Ovis aries: one gene and its partner. The protein of the gene in region 2 interacts with the protein of the main gene of each other region in a pairwise test. Links are inferred from orthologs where the notes say so. Each region holds a gene or a part of one and is shown on either strand. Other genes may lie near its edges.

The links.
Region 1: the proteins of GCC1 (region 2) and CEP57 interact in binary tests that used the Homo sapiens proteins (3 or more experiments, as listed by UniProt). The two-hybrid records come from large-scale screens. The link is inferred for Ovis aries from reciprocal best matches to the Homo sapiens genes GCC1 and CEP57.

What each region holds. Positions count from the first base shown.
Region 1 is NC_056068.1:14,077,945-14,080,759, reverse strand, and holds the end of CEP57 (centrosomal protein of 57 kDa), read left to right. Parts: intron 1-1,038; coding exon 1,039-1,269; 3' UTR 1,270-2,234; downstream 2,235-2,815. UniProt on the Homo sapiens protein: Centrosomal protein which may be required for microtubule attachment to centrosomes. May act by forming ring-like structures around microtubules. Mediates nuclear translocation and mitogenic activity of the internalized growth factor FGF2, but that of FGF1.
Region 2 is NC_056057.1:93,527,448-93,532,055, forward strand, and holds the start of GCC1 (GRIP and coiled-coil domain-containing protein 1), read right to left. Parts: upstream 3,114-4,608; 5' UTR 2,692-3,113; coding exon 1,660-2,691; intron 579-1,659; coding exon 1-578. UniProt on the Homo sapiens protein: Probably involved in maintaining Golgi structure.

The DNA of each region.
Region 1 (2,815 bases), on a different chromosome or scaffold from region 2:
TATTTCCTTATTATAGATACTAATTCAGTTCATTAGTTATTAAGAATTGGTATTAAGCAGGCTAGGAAGACACTGTCTTGTAGTCTCTGAGTAGATTTTATCATCTGAGATACATCTTACAAGTACTGAATTGTTTGTTTTTTTGTTTTTTGTTTTTTTTTCATTTTATTTTTTTACTTTACAATACTGTCTTGGTTTTGCCATAATATTCTCACATCGGTGAGATTTATCCATCTGTTCGGCTGCACTGGGTCTTCGTTGCCTATGGCGGGTTGGTGCGTGGGCTTCTCGTGGTGGTGGCTTCTTTGGCGGAGCACAGGCTCTACTGTGGGCTTCAGTGGTTGCAGTGCTCAGGAGCTGTGGTACACGGGCTTAGTTGAAGACGTGGAATGTTCCAGGAACCAGGGATTGAACCTGTGTTCCCTGCACTGGCAGGCAGATTCTTAACCACTGGACTACCAGGGAAGTCCGTTTTCCATACATTAAATTTACCTTTTTCTAATTGAACACCACCAGCAATTTATTTTCGCCAACAGCTAAAGTGAAAATAAAGCTACCCCTTTGAAATTATTCTAAAAGAATGATAATAAAATTTAAAAATCCTTTTCATAGTACTAATATATAACCATTACATTCTATCTATCCAGAACATGCTTCTCTCTGCTCAGACTAGTTTCAAGAATACCTTTCTCCTACTCATTTATTTAAAATCCTTCTTGTCTTCCTTTACCCGTATGGGAGTTTTTTGCCTCCTCCTTGACTTCCTCCGAAACCTTCTTGGTTCTTACATACCCTGTTCTGCATTTGGCAGCATTATCTTAACTTCTGGTATAGCACCAGAATTGATGTTTTTCCTCTTGTTTACATGTTTTTATGTCCCTATACACTAGTACAGTAAGTTTTTGAAGGTTTAAAAACCAGGGGGGAAAATATATATATGCGTTTTCGTTGGTATGAGAGTTAAAAATACCAGTTTTTTCAAGCATATGTTTTTATTAATTTTTCCTTTTTCTTCCTTGCCTTGGTTTTTTGGCATAGCTGGAGAAACAAAAGTTGGAGAAGCAGAAGAAGGAGTTAAAAGCCACCAAAAAGACTCTTGATGAGGAAGGAAACAGCAGCAGCCGTTCTACAACCACAGGGACCACAAATAAGAAGGACTTTGCCAAACCGAGACCTGGAGAAAAAAGCAGGAAAAATCTTCAGTTATTGAAAGATATGCAATCCATACAGAATTCATTACAAAGCAATAGTTTGTGTTGGGATTACTGACTGGTACCAGGTCATAAATTTTATTCACATAATCTGTACCTCATCAATCAGATACTGACTTTCCAGGTCTCATGTTGGAATTAATTAATAGCAGGCATTTAGGGACCCAAGCTTCATTACACAGGCTTCTTGTGCTACATATCACAACTAAATGTTTAGCCATCTGAACAGAAACTGGGGGTAGTTTTAAAGGCCAAGAAGCCACACATACTCTGTTTCTTTGTTTGAGATGAATTTGCTGTACTGAGATATTGCACTTTGTAAACAAATTACCAATTTTTTACTTGTGGGTGTGATTTTTTTAATAGTTCTATTATATAAGTAAAATTAGGTTTAAATTATCGAAGTATGAGGCTATCCCATAGGCAGTGTTTGTTTGAAAAGTCTCATTTTTAAATCTTCCCTGGCATGAATCGCCTGCTTTTGCTTTTCAATACAACCATTAAATATGCTCCATTTCGACTACTGATGGAGGTTTTCGATATTTAAATATTTATACATATTTAAGAAGATAGCTTTATTTTGCTTTTTGACGTTACAGACATTGGTCAGTATTAAATACACTTGCATTGATGTTAATTCACCATTAAAAATTTTAAAGATGCATTCATTTTAAATCAGTTAAATGTGAAGATCACAAAAGCATTTTTAAAACTATAAACAAATTGTTAATGATGTAAATGAGGTTTTGGAATGAAGAGAGAAAGGGAGGTGTTGTAAAGTATATACATATGTATTTTCAGATAATACCTGTTTGTAATCATGCTATTCATTTCAAGGCATTATGGTTTTTAATCTTAAACTCAAAATCCCTTGATTATTTATTTGTGTACAGTATGAGTGCAGTATTAACTGTACACGTGATTGTCATTGTTAATAATGTGAATCATAGTTTTGAATAGTTCAAGACTTGTTAACTTTATAAATTTGACACTGAAATCAATAAAGCAGCTTTTTTAAGGAAACACTGAAATTTTCCTTAGCAGCCTGTTAATAAAGGCTTTATTTGTTGTAATCTCTCAAAAAAATACATTTTTAAATAGAACATTAACCTCTTACAAGAAACAATAAGAATATATGGTATTTAATACATAATTTGCCTTTTTCATGCTTACATAGAAACCAGATCCAAGAAAACTGAACTGTCTCACAGTATATAAGATACTCTTTGTTGTTGTTAAGTCTCTCAGTCACGTCTGACTCTTTGCAACCCCATGAACTGCAGCACGCCACGCTTCCCTGTCCTTCACTATCTCCCGAGTTTCCTCAAACTCATGTCCATCAAGTCAGTGATGCCATCCAACATCTCATCCTCTGTCGTCCCCTTTTCCTCCCGCTTTCAGTCTTCCCCAGCATCAGGGTCTTTTCTAATGAGTCTGCTCTTCACATCAGGTGGCCAAAGTATTGGAGTTTCAGCTTCAGTCCTTCCAATGAATATTCAGGACTGCTTTCCTTTAGGATGGACTGGTTGGATCTCCTTGCAGTCCAAGGGACTCTCAAGAGTCTCCTCCAGTCCCACAGTTCAAAAGCATCAATTCTTCGGCAC
Region 2 (4,608 bases):
GACAGCCGCAGCGAGATGTACTTCTCCTTCAGCTCGGCCAGCTGCTCCCGGGCTTCCTCCAGCTCCTTGCCGAGGTTCCCGTCTTTGACGTTCTTGCTCTTAAGGACCACCTGGGCCCGCATCTTGTACCTCTCAAATTCCTCCTTCAGCTGTTTCAGCTCCTGCTGGTAGTAGAGCGCTGTGGCCTTCTCCCCATCAGCAGCCTCGGAGCTGGGCATTATCTCCAGGTCGCAGAGCTTCTCCACATCCAGGGTCACCTGGCTCTTCCTGGCCGCCACCTGCAGCAGCCTCTTCAGCTTCTCCATCTTGTCCTTCAGGACGTTGACATCCAGACTGGACTCCTCTCCATGGCTGTCCAGGGGGGACCGGCTGGAGGCCGCTAGAGCCAGGGTTTTGTTCTCCAGGTCCAGCTGCAGAATGCGCTCCTTCAGCTTCTGGATGGCCAGCTGGTCCTTCTGCTTGGCTTTCTCGTAGGTGCCCAGCAATTCCGACACCTGGGATATTTGATTCTCCAGGGCCGCCACCCTCTGCTCTTCCAACTGAGACTGCTGGCGCAGCTGATCCTCAGCGAGGGCTGTCTGAAAAAACAAGGGAACAGGTGGAGATGCATCCAGAAAAGCCACAGGGTCGGAGGGTCAACTTTAAGAAAGCAAGAGAGGGAGGACAAAAAGGTTATGGGATGCAGGTGGCCTGGAAAAAAATGGGAACTGGGAAGCTTTCTGAGTTTGGGAGCTAACCCAAGCTCCTGTAACTTGCTCTCAGACACACATTATACCCAATGATATTAAGAGTCTTTGGAGATCTGCTACTGTTCTGCTTTAGTGTTTCTACTCTCTCCACCCATACACCAAGCTCACGTGTAAGTGTGCTGTTCACCATATTACATTCTTTTCCTCTTCCAACATTCCTGGAAGTTCAGAGTTGGCTTGGATCTCTCCCCACGCTGAAAGGAGGCACTGGAAAATAGCCTATCTTTCCAGACATGGCAAATATTGACTGCAAGCAATAGAAGAGGTGATTTCTTCTATGAAAATTCCCTTTGTCCCCTCCAGCCACCCTACCTACAGGCATCCACTGCTACCCATAGATAGGCATACTGCCATAAGCCCCCACTCCACCTTCCACTGCACAGCCGCTGCTACACTGCTTCACAGAGCACAGCTGGGAAGATGCCATGCCCTGACACTCAGATCTGTCTAGCTCCAACTTCAGACTACACTCAGAAACTCCACATCCTGTTGGAAGCACTCTGTGGATACTGTCAACACCACACAGAAAAGGATTTCTCAGGACCCACAAGTGAAACTTTTCGAAGCGCATAAAAAACCAACAGTGCAGGCACTTAGTTCTGTCAAAGGAGAAAAAAAAAAAAAACACTAATATTTCCCCATGTGTCACAAGTGGTGTGTGCTGACTCGTGTCTGACTCTTTACTTCCTTATGGACTGTAGCCTACCAGGCTCCTCTGTCTATGTGGTTTTCCAGGCAAGAATACTGGAGTGGGTTGCAACTTCCTACTCCAGGGGATCTTCCTGACCCAGGGATCAAACCCATATCTCCAGAATCTCTTCCATTGGCAGATGGATTCTTTACCACTGAGCCACCTGAGAAGCCACTTTAAGTTAAATGACTCATGTTTGAAAGAGATGAAGATAATTACCTTTCTCATTTCCTGCTGCAACTGAGCCTGGAAATGGCTCTTGAGGCAGGCAGCCTCTTCTTGAAGCTCCTTCAGCCGGGGGTCAGGCTGATTCTTCTCATCTCGAAGAGCCTGAAGCTCACCTTTCAGCTCTTCCACCTCACGGGTCAGTTGCTTGGTCTGCAGTTCAAACCCTTCCATCTGACCGGCTGCATAGGCCCGCCCGGCCAGAGCTTCCCGAGTCTCTTCCAACCGAAGCTCCAAGTCCTGGCGCTGGGCCCTCTCCTCCTGCAGCAGTTTCTGGAGCTCACGCAGCATCAAGGCATGGTCGCTCTGCTCTTGGGCCCGATCATGTTGCTGCGTGATAAGCCGGGCTTTGGTTTCTGCTATCTGTTCCTGCAGCCCCTTCAGTTCTCCCTCCAGCCGGCCCCTCTCCTCCTCTGCTTTCTTACTGGCATCCTCTAAGTCCTGCTTCATCTTCTTTTTGTCCGCCAGGTAAGAAGCTTCCATGCGGGACTTCTCCTGGGTGACTGTAGCCAAAGAGCTGGTCAAAGTAGCCAACTGAGTCTTCAGCTGGTGCAGTCGTTTGTCCACCTCCCCACCCCCAGATGGTCCGTCCCCACTACTACTGCTAACGCCACTCTCTGACCCGCTGGCCTCTTCCAACTTTGGAGGAGGTGGTCCACGGGCCAGTCTGTCATCTTCTACCCCAAACTCACCCTTGGTGCTGGTGATACTGGCCGCAGTATCCAGGCTGGCGGCGGTCCCTGTGCTATCCTCGCTGTGAGTGGAGCATCGGTCATCCACAGAGTCAGGAAAGGTGAGGCCTTGAGGCTGCACACCTGCGAGGCCTACATCCGCCTCGTGGGATACAGACAGTACCTTAATGCTGGCCTCCAGCGCCTCTTTCTCCTTCAGCAGACTTTTATAGGCAAGGACTACATCCTTGAGACGAGTTTGGTACTGGAGGAGCTGCTTCTTCTGAGTCTCAATGGTCTCCAGCAGGTCCTTCTTGCTTGGGCCGCCCCCGAAATTCATTCCAAACTTCTCCATGAGGGTTCAGGACGGGTTGCTCCAGGCCAGGGTTTGGACAGGCTGGGAGAGCGTCACGAAGATGCTAGCAGGGGTTGTATGCGACGGGGAGATAGCTGTCCCCCTCTGCCGCACATCCGCTCCAAGCAGCTGTTTGAGACCGGATGCAGGGCGGCGGGGCAGCAGGGCAGAAACGCTTGCCAGGTCCCAGACAGGAGGGCGGGGGCGGGTCCTATCCTAGAGGCGGGGCGACGCTGGCACAAGAAGGGCACACTGCCAGGGCTCGCCCGCACTGCCCCAGAAGCCGCTCCGCGCTCCCCGCTCACCCAGCCACAGCAGCACCGGCCCGGCCCCGGCGCACTACAGGCCAAAGGTTTAAGATGAGCGTAGCTCCATCCCGACTTCCTAACTCTAGCGGCTGGGACAACGGCGCTTCCGGGTCTGCTGGAAGTGACGAGAGCGCGACGTATTGAGCCCCGCCCCCAGTGGGCGCGAGGTGGGCGGGGCTACCTCAGCCGGCTGGTGGGAAGAGAACCCAGCAGGGCTGAGAACTGGTCACTCTCCGGCCGAGTGCTGGTTCCTCTCCACCACAGCAGAGCAAGCAGAGTCGAGTACACCGGAGTCATGTTGGTTTGCTGAAGGCGCCTGATCTTGCTCTAGCGCTAAGATCAGCGAGGGACGGGGGCGACATTGTAATGAGCCCTTACCAAAGACTCGGGTAAATGACAGGCCCCACTGTTTGGGTGCTCAGTACCGTTGTCCTTAAAGAGCAACAGTTAAGACTACCATTTAGACCACAAAGATGACAACCCTTTCTAGGACAGTATTTGACACCTAGACGGTGTATAATTATTATTACACCTTTCCTGAGTTCTGCTGGGTTCATTTAACAAATATATATAAATAAATATATATAGGCATCATGTCCATTCTAAGTGCCACCTATATTTCAGAAGCTTCACAAGAGTTTTGCTATTTAGTCTTTATAATTAATCTGCTGAGCATCATTAGCACTATTTTACAGATAGTGCAACGTGAGGCACAGAGAAGTTAAGTAATACACCAAGGTCACATAGCCTTGGGTTTAGAATCCCATGTAGATCGGTCTGATTCTCAACATACCAAGTGCTATGCCAGGTGATCACCAGGAAAGGACAAGCTCCTACCCTCAAGGAGCCCACATCTAGAGAAGCAGCAGCCATGCAAACACAAGTATATTCAAAGTGATACTGAAGTTAAGAGGAGGGAGCCCTGTCTAAGGGAAACAGCGCAGGCTTTCAGGGGAAATGAGTTGGAATTTGAAGAGTAAGTACTGATTGTCCATCTAACTAGAAATGAGGGAAACAACATTCTGCTAACTGCTGCTAAGTCACTTCAGTCGTGTCCGACTCTGTGCGACCCATAGACGGCAGCCCACCAGGCTCCCCCGTCTCTGGGATTCTCCAGGCAAGAACACTGGAGTGGGCTGCCATTTCCTTCTCCAGTGCATGAAAGTGAAAAGTGAAAGTGAAGTCGTTCAGTCGTGTCTGACTCTTGGCGACCCCATGGACTGCAGCCCACCAGGCTCCTCCGTCCATGGGATTTTCCAGGCAAGAGTACCAGAGTGATGTGCCATTGCCCTCTCCAAAACAACATTCTAGGCAGAGGGAAAACTTGCAAGGACTCTGGAGCATCAGAGAGTTTGTCTCACCTGGGAAGCATTGAGAATCATTTCAAGGCAGTAGCTTAGGGTATGCAAAGGGGCTGGCAACAGATACTGCTGACACAATAGATGAGCACCCAAATTAAGGTATTTGGATTTTACCTTTGGTTATAAGACACTAAAGGATTTCCATCACAAGAGTGGCATCAAGTCTTATATGACAAGGTGGAGATACCAAAGTGCAGAAGACCATTTTCAGTCATGGGGATCAAATGATAGTGAAATAGAGCAATGAT